Saccharomyces cerevisiae S288C: one gene and its partner. The gene in region 1 interacts genetically with each later gene. Each region holds a gene or a part of one and is shown in the gene's direction. Other genes may lie near its edges.

Region 1 (5,706 bases):
GTCAGTTGCTTCGAGAATGGTGGGGGCAAAAGACAGTTTTATGTTTCTGGGGTTACCACGATTACCAGCGGAGTAGGTTCTAACGTTATTAACGGTTTCGGAGCGATAAGTCTTGGGCTTTAAGGAGTCGGGGCTCTCTCTGGTATTCAGTACTGTGTGCAGGATTTTCGGGTAGCGGCGTAAGATTGGATTTCCAATTAACAATTGGTAGTCCATGTTATCCAGTATGTACGCGGCTAAAGTTATCTGCAGGTCATTGATTTTGAGGTCAATGGTGACTGCTTCGGATGTAACGGCGGATTTGGTGGCTACGAATCCTCTAAAACGGAGTGGAGGGGTCTCGTAGATTTCGTATTTGAGAAGTTCTACAATATCTCTTCGGATAAATGACGTGGGTGATCCACTGTCAAACAGGGTTTTTACTTTCGTGTTTTGTATTTTTATGGTTTTTTCGGCGGTATTGTCCATCTCGGGGATGGCGATATAGTGTACAATTGGTAAGGTTTTGATAAAAAGAGTTTGTTGGTCTTTTGATTCGAGTTCAAGATCGGTTAGAACTCGCCTTACGTGCTCTACATTCGTTCAGGCGATGTCCCTCTTTCTTACAATAGAAGCATAGCCGATTTTTTATACATTCTTCTCTGGATGCGTTGTTATTTCTCCTGTTTCGATGATTTGACATTGGTTTATTGTAAGATCTTCTTGTCCTTACGGTGTGGACGTATCTATTCTGGGTCAGATTATCTTCTGAATCATAGTCAGAGTCGTATTCTTCTTGTAAGTGGGTTGTGGCACCGATGATAGTGTCTCCATCAGCATCAAGTTCGAATCCTGGGAAGAATCTTTCAGTTAGTGCGGTTGTCTGGTAAGCCTCTTCCATGGCGTCTTTTAATGTCTCTGGTTTGTGCATTCTGACAATATTATAGGTTTCCTTTGTCAATAGCCTAGTATATGTCATTATGGCAGCTTTTTCGGTCATGAAGTCTGGTGGCATTCTGTCCCAAATCTTTCTGAATCGTTGGTTGAGACGCTCAATACCAAGTTTAGCTTCGGAAAGTTGCGTGATTGCATTAAAGATTTTATTGATATCTGGTGGCTTATAGAAATGTTGATATAATCCTTGTATGAATGTGTCGAATGTTATTTCAAGTATACCTTGTTCTTGTACAAAATCATTAGCCCACTGAGCAGCGGGGTTTAATAAATGTCTTCTGCAGTACACAATACGACTGGCATCATTCGGCCAAGATATCATAGACATGTTTAGCATTATTTCGGAGATAAAGTTTTTCAGTTTATGCGAGTCATTTCTACCTCTGAAGGTCAAAGATGGTTGGATCGGGAAGTTAGGAAGGCATTCTACTGGGAGTTTTGGATAATTTCCTCCTCCTGGGATTTGATCCATAAAGCTCATACTGGGGTGTGGTGTAGCTAGGTTCGGCTTTTCGATGGTTCGTTTGAACAATTAGTAACCTTTAACGCTACCAGGTGTTGTATTACGGGCTCGAGTAATACCGGAGTGTCTTGACAATCCTAATATAAACAGTCTTAGGGAAGTAACCAGTTGTCAAAACAGTTTATCAGATTAATTCACGGAATGTTACTTATCTTATATATTATATAAAATATGAATCATACTAAGTGGTGGAAGCGCGGAATCTCGGATCTAAACTAATTGTTCAGGCATTTATACTTTGGGTAGTTCAGCTAGGGAAGGTCGGGTTTTGTCTCATGTTGTTCGTTTTGTTATAAGGTTGTTTCATATGTGTTTTATGAACGTTCAGGGTGACGTATTGTCATACTGACATATCTCATTTTGAGATACAACATGTTCCATGATATGGAAAAACGTATACCAGTGCTACAAACCCTGTTAACAATTAAATTCTTATTACTTCTTGCACAAAGATGCTAACACTTTACAGCTTTGAAAGTAACAGGAAGAAGTGATGCTGTGACAATTAACAGGGTATTTTTTTTTTCACTTCTACTTAAATCGGAGTTACAATTTATGATAAAAAAATCAAGAAAAAAACCTGATTATGCTAAGAAAGTAGAGGCGACGATGACCACCTATGGCCTAACCTAACTATGAACAGATGGTAGGCTCTAAATTGCGTGCCTGAAATCTGCGGATTTGATATGTAGGCGATGTTTTGGGTATTTTCCACCAACTTTATTGGCAAGGGAAGAATTCGATGACCCGAATTCGCCAAACGACAAAAACTGGAGGAGTGACCTATTGTTAACGTTTTTTTTTTTTTTTTAAAGGCATTGTCATCAACAGGACATCTGTATAAGAGGCTAAGACAATTACGCACACAACGCTTTTATTAGTTGTCATAAACTGTGTAGATTAGCAGCAGACACTCCTTTTTTTCTTCATACTATAGCAATGCCACCTCTACCCGTGCTCAACAGACCTCAAATTCATACGTCTGTTACTGAAATAAGTCATGCAATTGATCGTACAATCAAGGAAGAGCTCTTTCCCGTTGCCTACACTACTGAAGAAGAGCAATATTTCAAAACTAACCCTAAACCTGCCTATATCGATGAATTGATTAAGGACGCTAAAGAGTTTATTGATTTGCAGTATTCCCTGAAAAGGAACAAAATAGTTCTTATCACCTCTGGTGGTACTACTGTTCCATTGGAAAACAATACAGTACGTTTTATCGATAATTTTTCTGCAGGTACTCGTGGTGCATCGAGTGCTGAACAGTTCTTAGCGAACGGATATAGTGTTATTTTCTTACATAGGGAATTCTCATTAACTCCGTATAATAGGTCCTTCTCCCATAGCATTAATACTTTATTCTTGGACTACATTGATTCTGAAGGTAAAATCAAACCTGAATTTGCTGAGAATGTTTTGAAGAACAAAAAGCTTTATGACAAGTATATGGAGAAAGAGGAGAAACTACTTTTACTACCATTCACCACGGTCAACCAATACTTATGGTCACTGAAAAGTATAGCCAAGCTATTGAATAATAGTGGTTGCTTGTTTTATTTAGCTGCTGCTGTCAGTGATTTTTTTGTTCCATATTCAAGACTACCTCAGCACAAGATTCAATCAGGAGACAACGGTAAGATGGGAGCAAATAATGACACTGAAGGTACAACTAGGACTACGCCTGATGGTAAACTGATTGTGAATCTTGACCCTGTCCCTAAGTTTTTGAGAAGATTAGTGGAATCATGGGCCACTCAAGCGATGATCGTTTCGTTCAAATTAGAAACTGATGAATCCATGCTGCTTTACAAATGTACACAAGCCCTGGATAGATACAACCATCAACTGGTTATCGGAAACCTTTTACAGACAAGAAACAAACAGGTCATTTTCGTATCCCCTGAAAACAGAAAGGGAGATTGGGTACGTTTGGATGAAAAACACCATAGCATTGAAGAGATGATAATCCCAGAAGTCATCGCACGCCATGACAAATGGGTGGCGCATTCGAAAACTAAGCTAGCTACGAAATAAAACATAGCTCTTGTCTGTAATCAAAAAAATTTGCGTCAAAAAAAAAAATTAGATGTATGTAAACCTTTTTATTGAACTGAAAATTTATCTTTTATCAAATCTTTTTCTTCTATGCCTTAATTATGTTTTCAGGTATCTTTTTTCTCATTATTTAATTTAGCTTATGTATTGATCATTTCGCTTGAGATTTCAGGAAGAAAAAACGCAAACAATTTTTCAGCTAAAATGAACCCTTGGAAAAGCTTTAAGAGAACAAGAGAAACTGTAGAGCTCAGTGTGCATTGTCTTCAAGATTGATGGCTATTCAAAAGGTTAGTAACAAGGACTTGTCCCGCAAGGACAAAAGAAGATTTAATATCGAATCTAAAGTTAATAAGATTTATCAAAATTTTTACTCAGAAAGAGATAATCAATATAAAGATAGACTGACAGCATTGCAAACGGATTTAACTTCTCTGCATCAAGGTGATAATGGCCAATATGCCCGCCAAGTACGAGATTTGGAGGAAGAAAGAGATCTAGAGTTAGTCAGGTTGCGCCTGTTTGAAGAGTACCGTGTTTCTCGTTCCGGTATCGAATTTCAAGAAGATATTGAAAAGGCTAAGGCTGAACACGAGAAACTCATTAAATTATGCAAAGAAAGACTGTATTCGTCTATAGAGCAAAAAATAAAGAAATTACAGGAGGAGAGGTTACTAATGGATGTGGCCAATGTGCACTCCTATGCCATGAATTATAGCAGACCGCAATACCAGAAGAACACGAGAAGTCACACAGTAAGTGGTTGGGATTCTTCGTCCAACGAATATGGAAGAGATACAGCAAACGAAAGTGCTACTGACACGGGAGCTGGAAACGATAGAAGAACGCTAAGGAGAAGGAATGCTTCTAAAGACACGAGAGGTAACAACAACAATCAAGATGAATCTGATTTTCAAACTGGTAATGGTTCTGGAAGTAATGGCCATGGTTCTAGACAAGGGTCGCAATTCCCCCATTTCAACAACCTAACCTACAAGTCAGGCATGAACTCTGACTCAGATTTTCTACAAGGTATAAATGAAGGTACTGATCTATATGCATTTTTGTTTGGCGAAAAGAACCCCAAAGACAATGCTAATGGGAATGAAAAGAAAAAAAACCGTGGTGCTCAACGATATTCCACCAAAACAGCTCCACCTTTACAGTCTTTGAAACCAGATGAGGTCACAGAGGATATTTCCTTGATCAGAGAATTAACAGGTCAGCCTCCGGCTCCTTTCAGACTAAGGTCTGACTAATTTATTTTATGCTGCAAACCTTCCACTTTAACTTTGTATTATATTACATTAGATGGTTATATTTCAATGTGAGCTCTTTTTGTTTTTGCTTTCTTTTCTCGGATACAAGTGGAAAACGAAAAAAAAAAATTGGCTAAAATTTACTGTATACATCAGGCTAACAATCTGTGATTATAGGCACAGTTGTACCAAAGAAGGGCTAGAATATACATCATAATTAGATGCAATTAGCATGGCTATAAGATTGAATCCAAAAGTCAGAAGGTTCTTGCTGGATAAGTGTCGACAAAAACGATATGGTTTCCTCTTTTTAGGATGTATCTTCGCCATACTTTACTGTATGGGGACCTGGCCATTTTTCGCAAAAGATATTGTACATGATCCAAATAATTTGCCTTATTCCTTACAGGATTATTCGACTGACAAAGACGAGCCATTTTTCCGGGGCTGCACTGATACAAAGCTGTACTTGCAAAATCCTGCTTACTCCAAAATGAACGCATCTTTCGTTATGCTAACGAGAAACGAAGAAATAGAAGACGTACTGAAAACTATGAGAAGTATAGAGGGCCATTTCAATAAGTGGTTCAAATATCCGTACGTTTTCTTGAATGATGACCCCTTTACAGATCATTTTAAGGACCAAATTCAAGCTGCAACTAATGCCACTGTAGAGTTTGGCACTGTTGATGAAATTATGTGGGAGTTTCCTGCTAAGGTTCGTAATTCATTGCAGTTTAAGGCTTCATTAGAAGACCAAAACGATCGCGGTATAATGTATGGTAATATGGAATCATATCACAAGATGTGTCGATTTTACTCCGGGATCTTTTATAAACATCCATTAGTTTCCAAGTATGAATGGTATTGGAGAATAGAACCTGATGTGGACTTTTTTTGTGACATCTCGTATGATCCCTTTTTCGAGATGGC
Region 2 (5,829 bases), on another chromosome or scaffold:
ATCTATTGATTTAGCCAACGATCGTAGAATTCCTGATTTTATCACTATTCCAAACAGGTTTATTCATGATATGGATAATGATCAAACGTTGGACTCTGAGTATAATACGATATTGCAATAATATAAAATCATACATTCATATAATATCCATTACGTACGTACATCTTACATAACACATTTTTACCCCCTTTTCTTTTTTTTGTTTTCCTTTTTTGTTTTATTTAGCCGCCCGCGTTTTCCTAACGTTTTCCCAACATTGAAACCAATTCGTCATATACCTCACTTTCCATAAATTGTTTAGATTCACAGTGGGAATGACTTCAGAACACTTCAATTTACAACCAAATTTCACTAAATCGTTAAAACTACTGTGTTCAGAATATGGTACGTTAAAAACTTGAAATTTGTTGTACTTTTTGTATTGCCTCAATATACTCGAGATTTCAAACCCATTCTCATCATCATTATCTCGATCATTCTTCATTAGTTCTAAGCAATATTCTGTATTGCCACTCATTTCATTCTCATCATCATCGTTTTTCTTTTGATATTTTAAACCAAAATTGTGACTCCACCCGGTAGGTATAAACCCGACAACATCTTCAATGTCTTTCACATAGTCTGTTTCCAATTCTTTTAAACTTTTCAAGTAAGCTTCTATGGTTTCTTGACTTTTCAACACTCTTATAGGTACCAAATGTACGGATGATTCATGTAAATTGCTGGTGAGTAAGCTTTCGTCCCACATGTCATTTTGATTTTCGTTGTTTTGTAAAACTGTTAGCATCATTGAAAATTTAACGGAATTCGGCATAACAAATAATTTTGTTTTCAAAAATTCACATATCTTGATGGCTAGCTTCTCTTTTCCAATAGTATATGTTCCCACAAGAAATAGGACCCTGTAACGATGAGTTGTCAATGTTTTCTTTCTCTGAAAGTGAAAAAGGTTCCTTTGTGAATCTCCAAATGTTTTGTTTTTACCATGTTTTATAAGCCGTAATGTAAAATCAGCCACAGTCTCGCACACAGAATGTTGTGAAGGAAAGTTGTATCCCATAGTCATATATGTTGTATCTAAATAAACTTGGTCAATAGTTTCATTCGCTGTCTCGGCCAACCACTTCTGAATTGTCTCAATCATTTTGGCGTTGCTTCGAAAATCCCCCGTGTGAAGAATTTGTCTTATAGGCTTATCATACGAATTTGCCAGAAACTCCTGGAAAAGCATTATTATTGCACCGGGACAATGGTTAGCGTCCAACGTAACTACTGAAATGGTATCTGTTATCCAAAAGCGTTTATTCATGGGTAAAATTTGGATTTCATCCATTGGAATTTTGAATTTTAAATTTACTAATATTGCAGTGATCTTAGAACAGTAAAGTGTTTTCTTGATCGGATTCTCATCAGGATTGTTCCAAGATTTTTTGAGTCCAATATAGTGATCAGAATGAAAATGAGAAAGAAAGTACTGAGAGATAGTCTCGCTGGCCTTATAATTGAAACCATCCACAACTATTTCGTGGCCATTATTGAACTTAATTATCTTGAAACTTGGTAAAACAAGTTTTACTCTTGTTGGTTTTTTTGACGTAGCTATATCCCTCTTCGTTTTTGCAGGAGATGATGGATTAGAAATAAAGCTCCTGATATTCTTTTTAGGTGTTCCCATATTGCTCGGGTCACTGCCTATGCAAGTATCACAGTGTGTCTCTCTTTCGTACAATTCTAAATGAGAAAGGTTTTCTAGACAAATAGGACATTGAATAACTTCTGTAGAGACTTTAACATTTACTTGCTCCTCCAATTCCGTTACTATTCGATCTTCGGTCCTATTTTCTATTGCGCTGACTTCGTTATCATGCAAGCTAACTAGTTCTTCCTCGTCTGTGTCTATGGTGATTTCGACCTTTGCAGTGTCTTCAAGGCAAATGCTATTGTGATCGTCATCGTTAATAATTACTGGCTCTGTATTCTTATTGGATGTTGAACAACTGAACCTTGAGAATGAATATGAACTGGAACGGACAGGTAAGTTCGATGAAGTTGGGATGTTGAATTCTGTCAAAGTTCTCTGCCTTTTAGAGGATGTATGTGTGTTCTTATGAAGAGTTTTCCCCTCACTTGTACTGCTAGCGGTGCTACTTCGTTTCCGCTTTACTTCAGATCTTCTTATTTGCACTATAGATTTCCTTGACATAATCAACCGACCACCCAAATTAGTCACTAGTGCGTATGCTGCTTAACATGAGTTTTGACGCAGGTATTTGATTATGTTTATATTGCTATTTTACTAGTACTTTTTCAGTCCGTTTCCATGACAAAATCTAAAAAGCCATCGCACTAATTTATAAAGATAATAAGAGGGAAGCTTAAGGTGTAGAAGAATACATGGGACTACTAAGTATTATCAGGAAACAGAAGCTCAGGGACAAAGAAATTCGCTGTCTGATTCTAGGACTAGACAATTCGGGGAAGTCAACGATAGTAAACAAACTATTGCCCAAGGATGAGCAAAATAACGATGGTATAATGCCTACTGTGGGTTTTCAAATACATAGTCTGATGATAAAAGATGTGACAATATCTCTATGGGACATTGGGGGGCAACGCACATTAAGGCCATTTTGGGATAACTATTTTGATAAGACACAAGCGATGATATGGTGTATAGATGTGAGCCTTTCAATGCGGTTTGACGAAACCTTGCAAGAACTAAAAGAATTAATCAATAGAGACGAAAATCGAATAGGATACGAGTGTGCTGTTATCGTTGTGTTGAACAAGATTGATTTAGTGGAGGACAAGTCCGAGCTTCATCGAAGGTGTTTACTGGTAGAGAGCGAGTTGAAGTGTCTGTTCAAGCCGGACATCCGAATAGAGCTCGTCAAATGTAGTGGCGTTACCGGAGAAGGTATTGATAACCTGCGTGACCGTCTGGTGGAATCCTGCCATTTTACCCAATAATCGTCTAAGATGTGAGCACCATATAAAAACTTTAAATAATGTCAGTATTTATAGCGTGATAGTTCATTACCCGCCGACTGTGCGCATTCGTGGCTTCTGCTCACTCCGGATAATAATACTACCAAGGGGTTCTGTAAGGCTTGCGGGTTACAAAGCACGGGTCCATTGAAGATCTTACACAAGAAGGAGTGGTAGGAAGACCAGCAGATTATTTCCAATCGGTCGTTGCCATTGTCTTATTTCCTTTTCTTTCTGGCGCATTGCATTTTAACACCTTTTTTTCCAGAATAGCCAACCACCGACGTCTGATTCACACATTACTGGGCAAGATCTTGACATAGCATTACATTACAACACGGCAACACTAATCACGCAACGCTAGAACTCGCGCAGGATGAATATTCAAAGCAATAATTCTCCGAATCTCAGTAATAACATAGTGTCAAAACAGGTTTACTACGCCCATCCTCCACCTACGATAGACCCGAATGATCCGGTGCAGATATCTTTCCCTACCACCGAAGTAGTTGGGCATGGTTCGTTTGGTGTGGTATTTGCCACTGTTATTCAAGAAACTAATGAAAAAGTTGCTATTAAGAAAGTCCTGCAAGATAAACGATTCAAGAACAGAGAGCTGGAAATAATGAAAATGCTGAGTCACATAAATATAATAGATCTGAAGTACTTTTTCTATGAAAGGGACTCCCAAGATGAGATTTATTTAAATTTGATACTAGAATACATGCCACAATCTTTGTACCAGAGGTTACGTCATTTCGTCCATCAACGTACGCCGATGTCAAGATTGGAAATAAAGTACTACATGTTTCAATTGTTCAAGTCATTGAATTACCTCCATCATTTCGCGAACGTCTGTCATAGAGACATTAAGCCTCAAAATTTATTAGTAGATCCTGAGACCTGGTCCTTAAAACTGTGCGATTTCGGCAGTGCAAAGCAATTGAAACCTACTGAACCTAACGTTTCCTATATTTGTTCACGGTACTATAGAGCACCAGAGCTAATCTTCGGCGCAACAAATTATACCAACCAAATCGACATATGGTCCTCTGGCTGCGTAATGGCGGAACTGCTATTGGGCCAACCAATGTTCCCTGGAGAAAGTGGTATTGATCAACTAGTGGAAATCATTAAAATCTTAGGTACTCCATCAAAGCAAGAAATTTGCTCTATGAATCCCAATTATATGGAGCATAAGTTCCCGCAAATTAAACCAATACCATTGTCACGTGTTTTCAAGAAAGAAGATGATCAAACTGTGGAATTTCTAGCTGACGTTTTGAAATATGATCCACTAGAAAGATTTAATGCTCTACAATGCCTGTGTAGTCCATATTTTGATGAACTAAAACTTGATGACGGTAAAATAAATCAAATAACAACTGATTTAAAATTGCTAGAGTTCGATGAAAATGTCGAATTGGGCCATCTATCTCCCGATGAACTATCATCTGTAAAAAAAAAGCTATATCCGAAGTCTAAGTAATGATAGCACCGGAGGGAGCCCAGGCAAGAATAATGGGAGAAGGAAGGAACATATATACGTATGTCTTTTTTTAGTACTATTATTACTGTTATTATTATGAGTATTGTTTTTGTATTACCATCATATTCTTATCATTATTAGTAGTAACAGTATTATGTTATCATTACTGTTATAATGAATACAAATTATGAAAAAAATAAGGTAAAGCCAAAATAAATTGTAACTTTTTTATGCCATTTCACTTCGAATTATGTATAAAAGCCGTATTCTTTGCCAGTACGAAACTATTTTAATGACACCTTTACTTTAACCGGGTAACAACTTCCTTAAATGGGTCGACAAGGTTTTTAGAGTATAAAGGGGCAAGTGAAGGTTCATCATCGAGCTGATGTAGTGGGTGTTTTAGTAAACGAAGAAGCACCTTAGAACCAAATAATCTAGCTAGTATAAACCGAACCCAGAGTAGCAAACAAACCATGGGTAATGTTCCAGGGAAAATAGACCAGGAAGATAGTTTTAATGATGTCAGGCCAGATTCCTCATATAATACTACATCATCGAATTCTGTCATCAAACAATATGATGAAGAAGCCTCTTCAAGGGTGAGAACGAGACGCACGACGTCTTTGGTCAATAATATTTTAAATGGGAATAATGCTCGTACAAAAACTGGTTCTCATCTATCCAGCACTAGTAGAAGAAAGACGTCACGGGAAAAAGAGCTTGCTAAAGAGGCACATGCTAAACAATTGGTTGTGAGGTGTAGCGAAACTGTAGATGGGGGGTTTTTGGCCCCATTTGGCTGTTATTCTTTTGAAAAGTTGGACTATGATGCTACTGTCGTTAAAAATTTAATAATCAAAAGAAAGTTAGCGCCGTTTTACACTCCTTTGCAGGATTTTGATGAAAGTTGGACTAGAGATGAGTTGATAAAAATTGTTGACGGATTGCCCTTGCATGACACGTTCGATGAAAATTTGGAAGAATTCGAAGACGTACCGATAGGCAATTTAAGGAAGTCAACATTTAATGAATTAATAGACAAATCTTTATCCAAGAAGGAACAGAGAAGAATGCACGCAAAGATTTTTAGAGCAAGATTGTATAAGAAAAGAATTTTATGGCAAGAAAATGAAAATGAGACGTTTTTGGAGAGGAAATTGGAAATGAAAAGAATTGGCAGCAAGTCCAGCAATGTTGAAGATAATACCAGTAGCCAGCCAAGGAAAAATTACCATTTACCAAGTGACGATTTGAAGTATACTCTTTACAAAAATGGGTCGGAATGCCCTATTTGTTTTTTATACTTTCCAGGGCCTTTCAACTATTCCAAATGTTGTCAACAGCCTATT

What was found. A genetic interaction does not mean that the proteins touch.
Region 2: mutations in CAB2 (region 1) and RIM11 together harm fitness more than expected from each alone (negative genetic interaction), as found in Saccharomyces cerevisiae (2 studies listed by BioGRID).

The regions. Positions count from the first base shown.
Region 1 is NC_001141.2:201,343-207,048, reverse strand, and holds CAB2 (phosphopantothenate--cysteine ligase CAB2), read left to right. Parts: upstream 1-2,395; coding exon 2,396-3,493; downstream 3,494-5,706. Other genes in the region: SDS3 (Sds3p), read left to right, coding at 3,790-4,773; KTR7 (putative mannosyltransferase), read left to right, coding at 5,006-5,706. UniProt on the Saccharomyces cerevisiae protein: Catalyzes the first step in the biosynthesis of coenzyme A from vitamin B5, where cysteine is conjugated to 4'-phosphopantothenate to form 4-phosphopantothenoylcysteine.
Region 2 is NC_001145.3:542,761-548,589, forward strand, and holds RIM11 (serine/threonine protein kinase RIM11), read left to right. Parts: upstream 1-3,364; coding exon 3,365-4,477; downstream 4,478-5,829. Other genes in the region: GAT2 (Gat2p), read left to right, coding at 1-121; DNA cross-link repair protein PSO2, read right to left, coding at 218-2,203; Arf family GTPase CIN4, read left to right, coding at 2,395-2,970; SIP5 (Sip5p), read left to right, coding at 4,954-5,829. UniProt on the Saccharomyces cerevisiae protein: Serine/threonine protein kinase that is thought to function in regulating kinetochore activity and entry into meiosis. Could phosphorylate IME1.